2 linked regions of the Anolis sagrei genome follow. The protein of the gene in region 1 purifies or fractionates together with the protein of each later gene. This does not show direct contact. Links are inferred from orthologs where the notes say so. Each region holds a gene or a part of one and is shown in the gene's direction. Other genes may lie near its edges.

The links.
Region 2: the proteins of ATR (region 1) and TOPBP1 purify together in Homo sapiens (affinity purification with western blotting; 8 studies listed by BioGRID). This does not show direct contact. The link is inferred for Anolis sagrei from reciprocal best matches to the Homo sapiens genes ATR and TOPBP1.

The regions. Positions count from the first base shown.
Region 1 is NC_090023.1:237,161,548-237,168,895, reverse strand, and holds the start of ATR (serine/threonine-protein kinase ATR), read left to right. Parts: upstream 1-2,206; 5' UTR 2,207-2,495; coding exon 2,496-2,554; intron 2,555-5,158; coding exon 5,159-5,250; intron 5,251-6,596; coding exon 6,597-6,746; intron 6,747-7,348. UniProt on the Homo sapiens protein: Serine/threonine protein kinase which activates checkpoint signaling upon genotoxic stresses such as ionizing radiation (IR), ultraviolet light (UV), or DNA replication stalling, thereby acting as a DNA damage sensor.
Region 2 is NC_090026.1:78,152,076-78,159,423, forward strand, and holds the start of TOPBP1 (DNA topoisomerase 2-binding protein 1), read left to right. Parts: upstream 1-3,810; 5' UTR 3,811-3,912; intron 3,913-5,076; 5' UTR 5,077-5,080; coding exon 5,081-5,164; intron 5,165-7,348. UniProt on the Homo sapiens protein: Scaffold protein that acts as a key protein-protein adapter in DNA replication and DNA repair. Composed of multiple BRCT domains, which specifically recognize and bind phosphorylated proteins, bringing proteins together into functional combinations.

The DNA.
Region 1 (7,348 bases):
TTGGTATTCTGTGTTACATAGCTGAGTGGAAAGGCCCTCAGTCCACTTCGCCATATATCTCCATCCGTGGTCATCTCGATCTACCCAGGAAAATCTCCTATACATACTGGGCCCTAGGGAAGTACACCTGGAAGCTACAAGGCGTAGAGCTTTTTCGAACTATGCTCCAATTCTGTGGAACTCATTGCCTCCATACATTAGAGCAATGTCGGAGTTGCGACCTTTTGTAAAGGCGCTCAAGACTTGGCTGTTTGGTTGTGCATTTAAGTAATCAGATCTAATTTGCCAAATAGTCACTGTTGAATGTTTTTATGTTGAATGTTTTTATATTGTGTAAATGCTATTTTAGATTGTAAGTCGCTCGGAGCACCTTGGTGGAGAGCGACTAATTAAGAAATAAAGTGAAGTGAAGTGAAGTGAAGTGAAGTTCAAAGCAGATATTATGGGATTTCCTTCCTTGATATTCTAGATTATATGGCTGTGTGTTAAAATTGCTGGAAGAAACATTAACAACCTTAGATATGCAAATGATACCACTTTGATGGCCAAAAGTGAGGAGAAACTGAGGAGCTTTCTAATCAAGGTGAAAGAAGAAAGTGCAAAAGCTGAGTTGCAGTTAAATATATAGGAAAACAAGATTATGGCAACAAGAATGATTGATAACTGGCAAATAGAGGGAGAAAACGTGGAGGCCGTGACAGACTTTGTATTTCTAGGTGCAAAGATTACTGCAGATGCACACTGTGGCCAGGAAATCAGAAGACGCTTACTTCTTGGGAGGAGAGCAATGTCCAATCTCGATAAAATAGTAAAGAGTAGAGACATCACACTGGCAACAAAGATCCACCTAGTCAAAGCCATGGTATTCCCTGTAGTAACCTACGGATGTGAGAGCTGGACCTTAGGGAAGGCTGAGCGAAGGAAGATAGATGCTTTGAACTGTGGTGCTGGAGGAAAGTTCTGAGAGTGCCTTGGACTGCGAAAAGATCAAACTAGTCCATACTTCAGGAAATAAAGCCCGACTGCGCATTGGAGGGAAGGATAGTAGAGGCAAAGATGAAATACTCTGACCACATTATGAGAAGAAAGGAAAGCTTAGAGAAGACAATGATGCTGGGGAAAATGGAAGGAAAAAGGAAGAGGGGCCGACTAAGGACAAGACGGAGCGATCATATCTAGAAGTGACTGGATTGACCTTGAAGAAGCTGGGGGTGGTGACGGCCAACAGGGAACTCTGGTGCGGGCTGGTTCATGAGGTCACAAAGAGTCGAAAGCAACTGAACGAATAAACAACAGTGGCTGTGTGGAAGGGCCCTGAGTCCACACTGCCATATATCTCAGTTCGAAGCAGATATTGTGGGATTTCCTTCCTTGATTTTCTGGATATTTTTTTGTCGTGTCAGGAGTGACTTGAGAAACTGCAAGTCGTTTCTGGTGTGAGAGAATTGGCCGTCTGCAAGGATGTTGCACAGGGGACGCCCAGATGATTTGATGTTTTTATCATCCTTGTGAGAGGCTTCTCTCATGTCCCCGCATGAGGAGATGGAGCTGATAGAGGGAGCTCATCCACCTCTCCCCAGATTCGAACCTGCGACCTGTCGGTCTTCAGTCCTGCCAGCACAGGGGTTTTACCCACTGCGCCACCGGGTGCTTTGGTGCTATATTCTGGATTATACGGCTGTGTGGAAAGGCTCTGAGTCCACACTGCCATATATCTCAGTTCGAAGCAGATATTGTGGGATTTCCTTCCTTGATATTCTGGATTATGTGGTTGTGTGGAAAGGCCCTGAGTCCACACTGCCATATATCTCAGTTCAAAGCAGATACTATGGGATTTCCTGCCTTGATATTCTGGATTGTGTGGCTGTGTGGAAAGGTCCTGAGTCCACACTGCCATATATCTCAGTTCAAAGTAGATATGGGATTTCCTGCCTTGATATTCTGTTTATATGGCTGTTTGGAAGGGTCCTGGATTCAATAGCACCTAAACTGCAGAACAGAGGGACACTGTTATAGCTCTATGTTCTACTGTAGTTGCCACGGCAACATTCTGTGGCATTCTGGGTTTGGTAGTTCAGTGAGACCCGAAACCTCTTTGGCTGAGCGGGCTAACTATCCCTCGCTTAAACTCAAAATCCCAGCGTCCCACGCGGTGTTGCCATGGCGATGAAAGCGGAAACTAGTCCTGTCACAGCTTAAAGGGATAGAAGAGGACCTGCAATTGAATATGTTGTTACAATTTAGTCAATGAGTGAGATAACGCGATAGTTGAAACAGAACTTCCTCTATTAATATTAATTTAAAAGAAGGCGGCATCGTGTTTTCATAGCAATCTCTTTTGAAATTGGTCGTGAGAGAGAGAGAAAGAGAGAGGGAGGGGGAAGGGCAAAACGCCTTTGTGGGAAGTTTGGCGCCTGTCAGCTCCCGTCCAGAGGGCGGCTTCCCTGCCTAGAAGAGGAAAAGGAGGCGGGAAACGGCACTGAGTCGAAGTGAGGATGGGCGACCAGGGGCTGGAGATGGCCTCCGTGATTCCTGCCCTCCGGGAACTGGGCAGGTAAGCCCCAAACCCTCCAAAACCACCCAAAGAACAGTAGCAACAGTTGCACCTTTGCTGTTGGGTGGTTCAGGGTACACAGTGTGGAAAAATAGAACATTATATGTGACACAGCTGTGGAGGCTTTTAAACAGAGGCTGGATGACCATCTGTCGGGGGTGCTTTGAATACAGTTTTCCTGCTTCTTGGCAGGAGGTTGGACGGGATGGCCCATGAGGTCTCTTCCAACTTTATGATTCTATGGTTTTTGTTCCTGGGTTATAAATGTAATTTCCTAATTCCTAATCAGGAAAACATGGGGAAGCTGCTTAAAATGCAAAAACCATCTCTTTATCTATATAAATAAAAATGTAATGTTGCTTTGTGGGATTAACATAACTCAAAAACCACTGGACGAATTGCTGCCAAATTTGGCCACAAGACACCTACTAACCCAAGGAGTGAGCAACACTAAAAAAATTGATTTTGTCATTTGGGAGTTGTAATTGCTGGGATTTATAGTTCACCTACAATCAAAGAGCATTCCGAACTCCACCAATGATGGAATTGAACCAAACAAGGCATAGAGGACTCCCATAACCATCAGAAAACACTAGAAGGGTTTGTGGGCATTGACCTTGAGTTTGGGAGTTGTAGTTCACCTACATCCAGAGAGCACTGTGGACTAAAACAATGAAGGATCTGGACCAAACTTGGCACGGATATTCCATGTGCCCAAGTAGGAACACAGATGGAGTTTGGGAGAAATAGACTGTGACATTTGGGAGTTGTAGTTACTGGGATTTATAGTTCACCTACAATCAAAGCATTTTGAACCCCACCAACGATAGAATTGGGCCAAACTTACCTCACAGAATCCCCATGACCAACAGAAAATATTTAAGGCCATTCAGTCCAACTCCCTTCACCAGAGCAAGAAAACGTTTTCAAAGCCCTCCTGACAAAGAGCCATCTAGCCATAGATATAGATAGATAGATATGATTCACACACATATAGTATCATAGATTTCAAAGAGACTCCTAAAAAAGGAAAATTATATGTTGTATGATCCAGAGTAGGCAAAACAGACAATCTCCACATCAACACTGACAAAGAAACAGCAAGAAATACTGTTTACCCACAAGTATAAAAAATTACATATATTAGAAACCAACACTTCCTCATTACTTTATTATCCAGATCACCAGACTGAGCCACAGCAACGCATGACAGGGAATGGCTAGTTTACTATATTTATCTACCGCCCCTCTCAGGGAAGTTTACAATCAGCATCAAAAACATAAAATACGATTTAATCAATTAGCTTAAATATAAAACCAAATAAAACAGTCAATGTCAACAAAAACATATATCAATTAGAGTCTCCTTGTTTTTGCGGGACATACTGCAGCACATCTTGCTAGAGTTTTTAAAATGAATATCTCATAGAGTCTCAACCAATGCAACATAGTTTGTGGCAGCCACAAAAATGAAGTTTCTGGAGTATAGCGACAACTTTCAACAGGCGTGGGCAAACTTGGGTCCTCCAAGTTTGTTGACCTTCAACTCCCACAATTCCTAACAGCCTCAGACCCCTTCCTTTCTCCCTCAACTGCTTAATTAAGGAATTGTGGGAGTTGAAGTCCAAAACACCTGGAGGGCCCAAGTTTGCCCATGCCTGACTTTCAAAGTAAGTAGCACACAATTAAACAAGAAATAATGCTTTTAAACCAGAAACTGATTTTTTTTCTATTTTGTTACATAGTGTTGTTATTGTTTATTTATACCCCACTTTTTCTCTCCGCAAAAGAGACTCCCCTTAGCTCAGTATTGGGGTCACGATTTCTAGATGCCACTTAGATATGTACACAAATCTGTTTGCGACAACATATGGTGTTTTACTGTGTAGAAAATGCTTCAGCCTTGCTTCACGAAAAAGGAAAATTTGTCTCCTTAGCAAGCCTTGCAAATCCTGTAAATGTTCGGTATTTATGCTTGTTTTACATACTTGAGGGTATGTTGTTGCTGCTTTTATTTGTATCCTGCTTATCTCACTAAAAAAGAGACCCAAAGTGTCTAACATTAAACGCAATACAATGTATAATTTAAAACATAGAAAGCATACAAACATTAAAATACAATTAAACATTGTAACTATTAAAATAGTTAAAACCATTAGAACCTATTCACATAATATTTCCATTTGGCTATTTGAGGGAAAAGGCAGTTGGAAGCATAGCTGAAGTGGCATTCCCATCTGTAAGAAAGGTTTCTAAGCAAGACGCACAACAACAGTATTAAAACAATTATGCATAACCTACAGATGAAAAGTTGCTTCATAATGTGCTGCTATCTGTTAGCCAGTATATGTGCATGGTTGTGATTGATGAAAATCAAATTGTAAAGCTGCAAACGATGAAATGTAAATGGTCATTTACAAATTAATGCTGATGACATAGACATCCCCACTGCATTACTGGTAATGTAGTGGGGATGTGAAGTGAAACCCATAGTTTTAATTAAAGCCACAATTGATGGAAATGAATGGCTAGATAACTTGTGACATTCAGAGTAACATATGAAAGTAGAGAGACAATGCTAATTGTTAAATACATTAATTCCAGTGCCACCCCAGAGGAATACAATACTGTTGTGCAGAAACCAAGACAAATTCTCTGTCAGTTCATTGATCGAATTCTAGTGGATGTAGATGTTGGTAAGTAAAACAAAACTGTTAAAGAGGCTAGATTTTGAAAAGTTACTTTGTTGTACAGTGTCCAGTGTATAAATTTTGACAAGGTAGCAAATTCTAAATCCTAGGCAATATAGAATATCTAAAAAGTTTATTGAAAAGTAATAATGTGATGGGGAAAGTAAAAGCAAAGATACTTGGGAGGAGAATAGAGGCAGATTTCACCCAGTGCAGGAATCATTCATCTCTTAGAGGTTCTTGGGCTGCAATTCTCAGTTTTTCCTATCATCAGCTATGATGATTAGACCTACTTTGCTGATTAGAACTGCTGGGATTTGCAATCAAGTAACATCTGGAAGACCATCCTGTTCTAGTATGAAAAAAAACCCCAGATTCTGCTGGGTATTATAAATAGTAATATACCAAAAATATCCTTGTCTGGATATTTCGGTCTTTTTCACTGATTACCAAGTAGATGAGACTTTCAAAGGGGAACAGATGCATAGGTCTGCTTTTAAGTCTGTCACCAGTAGTTTGATTCAGGGAAATGCTATCTTAGCACACAATATATATTAAGAGGCATGTTTTCACAAAATGGTATGTATGTATGTGTGATATCAATTTGTTAAAATTTTCCCCAAAATAACACTTCTGGCTTCAGAAGCAACAGATGACACCATTGTTTTTAACAGCAATTTGTGAAGTTAGTCTGTTCGGCCATAACAACAGAGTAGTGAGCATACTTTGGATGCATCTACTCTATAGAATTAATAAATGTTGATAAAACTTTAACAGCCATGGCTCAATACTATAGAATCTTGGATATTGTAGTTTGGTGAGGGACCAGCCCTCTTTGTGAGAGCAGGCCTTGTAAAATTACATCTTCCAGGATCCTAAAGCATTGAGCCATGGCATTTAAAATGGTATCAAATTGCATTGATTCCAAAGTATAGATGCACCCTTTACCTCAGCATCAGAAAGATTTATTCTAGTATCAGCTTTTGTCATTTAGTATCTATTTCAGACGTATGGAGTAAAGGTTCAAGCCGCACACACACACTGGCACACAAAGTATGTCCTTGGCAAGAGAGGAATCAGCAAAATTGGATGTGAACTATCCCAACAGTATTCAAGCATTCTGGCAATAAATTAAAGTAAATGATAGATGATAAGCATGTGTTAATTTACGTATATCTCTGCTAGGCGATTTATTACCTCTTGTGTGGAAAAACATGGTGTTTAACATGTATGAAAAGTGTGAATTTCATTTTCATTGTTTTGCACTTTTACTGAAGAAATGATAGATTTATTTTGAAAAGGAGAATAATATGTGAAATTAGCATAAAGAAACGTGACTGTTTATTTTTCAGTTGCTCTAGAACTTGCTAAGAAAACTGACTCACAGCCAAGTTCTGTAATGTTGCTTGATTTTATACTGCATATTATGAAATCATCCCCGCTTGTATTTGTAAATGTGACTGGAACTTATCAGCAAAATGAAGCAGAAGCCAGCTGCATTGGTGAGTTCATTCAAATATATCTTTGGTATTTTTTTAAATCGGCAAACCAAAAATGATGTTGTAGTAATTTTATAATGGAATAGATTTATGGATTAAAGGAGGTAATAGTGTAATTGATACAGAGAAAGAAAACTAGTGCTACTACTTTAGATTAATGAAGTTTTATTACTGCTCCAGGGAATAGAATACAAAACAGTGGATTCAAATTATAAGAAAAGAGATTCTGTCTGAAATTATAAAGATGTTATTATTATCATCATCATCATCATCAGAGCCATTGGACAGTGCCATAGATGGTCTTGGAGGGTGGCAGACTTGTCTATCTTTGGACATCTTTGAACATGAGTTGAATGGGTGTTTTCAGGGTATTTTAGTTCTGTATTCTTATATGACAAGGATAATGGACAAGATTGCCCTTGCAGCCCCTTCCAATTATTTGGTTTTGTAGTTTGATATCTAAAGGCCTGGGTCACCTGTTGGCGCAGCAGGTTAAACCGCTGAGCTGCTGAACTTGCTGGCCAAAAGGTTGGTGGTTCGAATTCCCGCTGTTAGCTCCAGCCTCTGCCAACCTAGCAGTTTAAAAACATGCAAATGTGGGTATT
Region 2 (7,348 bases), on another chromosome or scaffold:
GTCTGGAGGGAAGAGGCTGACGACCCATAAAAGATTACTTCTACCACATCAGCTCTAGATTTTTAAATATGGTTTTCTGTGGGCGAGCAGATGGCGACTACTAAATAGCTCGTGCATTGTATCAGAAACTAAACCTGATGTGGTCTAAGGTAAAGGTAAAGGTAGTCCCCTGACATTAAGTCCAGTCATGTCTGACTCTGGGGTGTGGTGCTCATCTCCATTTCTAAGCCGAAGAGCCAGCGTTGTCCGTAGACACCTCCAAGGTCATGTGGCCAGCATGACTGCATGGAGTCATGCAGTCTATCCAATGCATGTGGTCTATCCAATGCAATTTTCTAAATCGGCATCCCAAATAAACAAACTGAATCTAAAGTTGGCCAAAAACTGATTTGTAACCCTTTTGGTAATAATGTTGGAGTCTTGTCCCTGGTCAAAGTGGTCCCTGCTAAAAACAAAACAAAACAAAACAAAACAAAACAAAAAAGGTTGGGAACCACTGGTCAAGAGCAATTGTTTAATGCAGGGGTCCTCAAACTGTTAGAGGTCCAGATTATAATTTGAAAAAAAAAACATGAATGAATTCCTATGCACACTGCACATATCTTATTTCTTCTGAGGAAAAAAAAAACCCACTTTAAAACAATACAATAATTAAAATGAAGAACAATTTTTAACAACAAATATAAACTTATTATTTCAATGGGAAGTGTGGGTCTGCTTTTGTTGTTGTTGTGTGCTTTCAAGTCATTTCATACTTAGGTTGACCCTGAGTGAGGGCCGGGTAAATGACCTTTGAGGGCCGTATCCGGCCCCCGGGCCTTAGTTTGAGGTCCCCTGGTTTAATGTTTGTCTATCTTCTAATGAAGCCTGCATCTCTGAATATTTATGACTGAATGGTAAGAGTTATATAACTCCTCCTGAATGTGATGAAGTGTCGGGAGCTGAATAGATCACCTACCAACTATGAAAGCAACTCGGAACATTCATTTGTTCTCTATCAGCTTCTGGTGGGGATTTGGAAAATTACATCGAATGCGCACAGATGAAAATCAAATAGAGACCTGATATTTCGGAAGAGAAACTTTCCCCACAAATTTGGTTTTGCATCTCATAGCTATTTCAAAAATTGTTCCCTCTACAGAACAAACAGGAACTATATTGCAGACTGGATTTGTGAAAGGAGGGAGAACAAAAACAGCATTAACTCACTTTCTAGTTTTCCTGTTAGGAAATTTAAGTGCTATACGATTTTTGCTTCATAGATTTGATGAAACTGGTCATTGAATAGATTCTATAGAGGAGATTAAGTATGCCAGATTGCACGGGTATCAGGAACCTCTGTGTGATAAGTGGTTTAGAGTTGGGAATCTATACAAATAAAAATGTAATGTTCGTTTGTGGGATTAACATAATTCAAAAACCACTGGACGAATTGACACCAAATTTGGACAACATATACCTAACAACCCAATGTATGTCCTTCACTCAAATATTTTTTGATTTTGTCTTTTGGGAGTTGTAGTTGCTGGGATTTATAGTTCACCTACAATCAAAGAGTATTCTGAATTCCACCTATGATGGAATTGAACCAAACATGATGCACGGGACTCCCATGACCAACAGAAAACACTAGAAGGGTTTGGTGGGCATTGCCCTTGAGTTTGGGAGTTGTAGTTCACCTACATCCAGAGAGCACTTTGGGCTCAAACAAGGATGGATCTGGACCAAACTTGGCACGGATATTCCATATGACCAAATACGAACACAGATGGAGTTTGGGGGAAATAAACCCTGACATTTGGGAGTTGTAGTTACTGGGATTTATAGTTCACCTACAATCAAAGAGCATGCTGAAGCCCACCAAGGACAGAATTGGGCCAAACCTCCCACACAGAACCTCCATGAGCAACAGAAAATACTTATGGCCATCCAGTCCAACTCCCTTCACCAGGGCAAGAAAACATAATCAAAGCCCTCCTGACAAAGAGCCATCCAGCCATAGATATAGATAGATATATATGATTCACGGAGCCCCCGGTTGCGCAGTGGGTTAAAGCACTGAGCTGCTGAGCTTGTTGATCGAAAGGTCGCAGGTTCGATTCCGGGGAGCGGCGTGAGCTTCCGCTGTCAGCCCTAGCTTCTGCCAACCTAGCAGTTCAAAAACATGCAAATGTGAGTAGATCAATAGGTACCACTCCGGCGGGAAGGTAACGGCGCTCCATGCAGTCATGCCGGCCACATGACCTTGGAGGTGTCTATGGACAATGCCGGCTCTTCAGCTTAGAAATGGAGATGAGCACCACACCCCAGAGTCAGACATGACTGGACTTAATGGCAGGGGACTACCTTTACCTTTTTATATGATTCACACACAGAGAGATATATAGTATCCTAGATTTGAAAGGGACCCTTAAAGAAGGACAATGATATTTTGCATGTTCCAGAGTGGGCAAACCAGACACTCTCCACATCAACACTGACAAAGAAACAGCAAGAAGTGCTGTTTACCCACAAGCATAAAATCTATTTTATTAGCATAGTACAATATCAGTATTAATTATTACTATATTGTATTAAACCATTACATTGTAACATTATTATTAATATTACATGTAATACAAATATATATTTATAATATCATATTATTAGTAGTGTTATATTGCATTACATTATAATATTATAGATATTATATGTATATATACGATATATTATTTTATATTATATTATATTATTAACATAGCACAGGAGACAAGGTGAATCTATATTAAACTACATTTATTTATTTGTCATGTCAGGGCAACCAGTCAATTATATTACATTTCTAACAGAACAAAGCAAACAAACAGGCAAAATACAAAATTTGTGAGTTTGGTAGTTGATTAAATGTCCTTTGACCAGTATCTGGCCACTTGGAGTGCTTCTGGTGTTGCTGCAAGGAGGTCATCCATTGTGCATGTGGCAGGGCTCAGGGTGCATTGCAGCAGGTGGTCAGTGGTTTGCTCTTCTCCACACTCGCATGTCGTGGATTCCACTTTGTGGCCCCATTTCTTGAGGTTGGCTCTGCATCTTGTGGTGCCAGAGTGTAGTCTGTTCAGCCCCTTCCAAGTCGCCCAGTCCTCTGTGTGCCCAGGGGGGAGTCTCTCATTTGGTATCAGCCATTGATTGAGGTTCTGGGTTTGAGCCTGCCACTTTTGGACTCTTGCTTACTGAGGTGTTCCAGCAAGTGTTTCTTCAGTGGTTCTCAACCTGTGGGTCCCCAGGTGTTTTGGCCTACAACTCCCAGAAATCTCAGTCAGTTTACCAGTTGTTAGGATCTCTGGGAGTTGAAGGCCAAAACATCTGGGGACCCACAGGTTGAAAACCACTGCTGTAGATCTTAGAAAACTATGTCTAGATTTAAGTCGTTGACGTGCTGGCTGATACTCAAACAGGGGATGAGCTGGAGATGTCTCTGCCTTGGTCCTTTCACTACATTATATGAGTCTACACTGACCATCCAACGCGGTTTCACACTGCACTGTTTGGCAGTGTTGATAGCACCAGGATTTCCTCTCTGAAACTTCCCCAAAGGAAGCGACACCCTCTCTTTGGCAAGCTACTTTTCACAATACCGGTGGTCGCACAAGCGCCGGAAGAAAACTCAAACAACAAAACCACCCTATCCCTTCGCCCACAAACAATATTTAAAGGGGCCACGCTTACTATCCTTCTCAACCAATCGCCTCTGCCTTTCCGTACCTTGCCCCTTTAAGGGAAACTTTGCCATGTTTGTAGGCCGGCGACGTCACGAGCCGTCCCTGGCGCATGCGCCCTCCGTCCAGGAGTCTTTTCCCGCCAGCCTTTGGAAGAAGAGAGTTGTTGGTGAGAAGGGGAGAGGGGGTCGCTTCCTCAGGCCGAGGACGTGCTGCTGAGGTAATCCCGGAGGAAGGCAAGGGGAACCTGTATCCTTCCTCGCTCTCTCTCTCTCTTTGGGCCCAGAAATGAGAGGGGCCTCCTCCGCCTGAGAAATACTACAGCTCCTCAGGGGCCTCAGCCAGGAAGACCTCCAACTTTTACCTATTACAGGAAAACCAGCTGATTCCTAATCCATCTAAATAGGCCTGGGCAAACTTTGGCCCTCTGGGTGTTTTGGACTTCAACTCCCAGCATTCCTAACAGCCTCAGGCCCCTTCCCTTTTCCCCCTCAGCTGCTTAAGCCATAACATTTATAGCTGTACATTTCTTATGAAACTGACAGCTGAGCTCCACAAAATTTGTTCCTATTTAATAGCCTGAGATAGTTATTTTAGTTTCATTTTCCCTTAGATCAGTGGTTCTCAACCTTCCTAATGGCGTGACCCCTTAATACAGTCCCCCATGTTGTGGTGACCCCCAACCATAATATTGTTTTCATTGCTACTTCATAACAGTCATTTTACTACTGTTACAAATCATAATGTAAATATCTGATATGCAGGATGCATTTTCATTCACTGGACCAAACTGGGCACAAATACCCAATACACCCAAATGTGAATGCTAGTGGGGTTGGGCGAGGATTGATTTTGTAATTTGGGAGTTGTAGTTGATCTTCTGAAGAGGCCCTGCTCTTGGTCCCGCCTTCCTCACAGATCCAGTTGGCGGGAACAAGAGACAGGGCCTTCTCAGCGGTGGCTCCTCGGCTATGGAACACCCTTCCTAGGGATATTAGATTGGCCCTCTCCCTCCTGACATTTCGAAAAAGAGAAAACCTGCCTATTCGAGCAGGCATTTGCAGACGCAGTATAACTCTTTGATTGATACTCATGGAATGACAAGACGATGTGACGGAAAATGATTTTAATGAGACGCTGAGAATTGTATTTTATGGTGTTAATTGTTTATTGTTTTTACATGGCTATTTTATATGTAATTGTTTTTGAATGTATTTTATCTTGTGGGGCATTGATTGCCAAAAGTAAACCTCCTCGAGTCATCTTTGGGCTGAGAGGGGCAGTATACAAATATAGTAAATAAATAAATACACAAATAGGCTTTTTGTTAATGTTTCCTTTGCCTATATAATGTTACATCTTCTCTTTCTTCTTTCCTCATTAGTTAAATGATGAAAAATAACAAGGAACCATATCTTGTGAAGTTCATCAAGTCTCCAGAGAACTCAGATTTTTTCCTTCAGGCCCTTGAAGTAAGATAATTTTTACATATGTGAGGCGCTCTCTGAAAATAAGACTGAGCCATGTTTGGATGCAGCAAAAATGCCTGATGACTTTTCCTGTTGAAGTTTTTATCTTACAGAAGGCAAAAATATTGTGGCTTTCAGCAGATTTTCCAAAATGAATGCAGAAAAGTTCTCCCTGTCTCCTTCCTCTTTCTTAGCTTCTCTCATGCTGTAGGATGGGTGCAAAGCGAGCAATGGGAGGTATTGGCATTTTAGTTCAGCCAAAACCTATATACTCCTGTGTCATATAGGATTGTGATAATTTAATGAAAATAGCCCAGGGTGCACCTGCTATTTTAAAAATAATAATATTCTATGTGGGGACTAGGACATTAGGCAGTAAATAAAATGTCCAATAAAATGTCTGTAAATAAAATGTCCAATGTCCACTGTGTGTGAGTGGTTTGGGAACTTAAAAGAAAGTACTTCATCTCACAATGTATAGTTAAACTTTTAACTACATTACTAATGAGGATAGCTATACATTCTAGCACCAACAACAGTATACCTCAGTATATCAGTAGCTGAGGAGCATAAACATATGGGTGCATTTTGATTTATGTCCTGTTTGCTGCCTTCTGTGGGCAGTTTGATTAGTCATTGCATGAACAGAATGATAGACTAGATAAATACTTGGCTCTGATCCATCATTGCTCTTATCTAATATGGCTTTTCTTCCATTCTTAACCTTTTCCCTCAGAAGTGCTGGAAAAGTCAATTGAGGCCAACTGTCAGTAGTAGGCAGGCTAGAGCCAACGATGGGCCAAGATTTATGGTCTTGGTACTTATGACTTCCGTGGATTGTGTGGCTCTCTCTTTCCTTGTATCACCCATTTTTCATCTGCTTGTGCACAAATGAAATGGAGGAGTTGTTGATTCCCAGCATTGAGATCTGGGGAGCAGAAGTGGTCCTAAAATATCCAAAGACTTGTGAAGCTGGGGGCTTCATAAATTGACTGCATGGAAGGGTGTTGTAGGCGCAGCCATTGAAGGAGAAAATGTGCCTAATTTTAGATTCAAGGAATGGAGTACAGCAATGTAAATGAGAGCAATTTAAATGACAGTGGTGGAGATATGTAAACATTTAATTTGAGCAGTCTGGCAGCAGAGCAAACATATTCCTTACCATCAGCATTGAAGTGATTTCTTTTTTGTCTTGTCAGGAGCGACTTGAGAAACTGCAAGTCATTTCTGGTGTGAGAGAATTGGCCGTCTGCAAGGACGTTGCCCAGGGGATGCCCGGATGATTTGATGTTTTTATCATCCTTGTGGGAGGCTTCTCTCATGTCCCCGCATGAGGAGCTGGAGTTGATAGAGGGAGCTCATCCGCCTCTCCCCGGATTTGAACCTGCGACCTGTCAGTCTTCAGTCCTGCCGGCACAGGGGTTTAACCCACTGCGCCACAGGGGGCTCATTGAAGTGATGATCATCAACCATTAATTTTGCTAGGCTGGCCATATTGTCTGAATGCCCAATCACTATCTCTCAAAGCAATTACTTTACTCTCAGCTCAAGAGTGAAAAACAGAATGTTGGTGGACAGCAAAAGAGATTTAAAGATGGGTTTAAAGCTCATCTAAAATGTGGAATAAACACTGAGAACTAGGCATTCCTGCCCTCAAGCATTCTAACTGGAGATCAGCTGTTAGCACCAGTGCTATGGATTTGAAAGAGGCACAAATAATCAGCGAAAGGGAGAAACGTGCCAAGAGGAAGGTGCATCAAGGAAACCCTTGTTATGACTGCCTTCCACCTAGAAATGTATGTTCTCACTGTTAAAGACCATAGGGATCCAGAGTAGGTCTCTACAGTTACTTATGGACTCTGCCAAAACTACCCTTGAAAGACAATCATACCCATAAGTGATAGCCTATGATTATAATGACCAGAGCAAATATATACCTTACTATTTATATCAGTTTTGGAGATCTACCTAGCAACGACACAGCAAATTATGATGATATTGAAGATATATTTGCTAATCATGAAATGTCAGTCATTAAGTTGTAATATAAAACCAACAAGCAAGCAGCAGTCAAAATTATTAATGTTAAACTTCTTTCTTACATTGTTATTAATAAAAGAGCCATTTAGCCAATGGTAGGATCAATAGGCTCTGCTAATCTTCATCTGACTTTTAAAAAAAATCCTA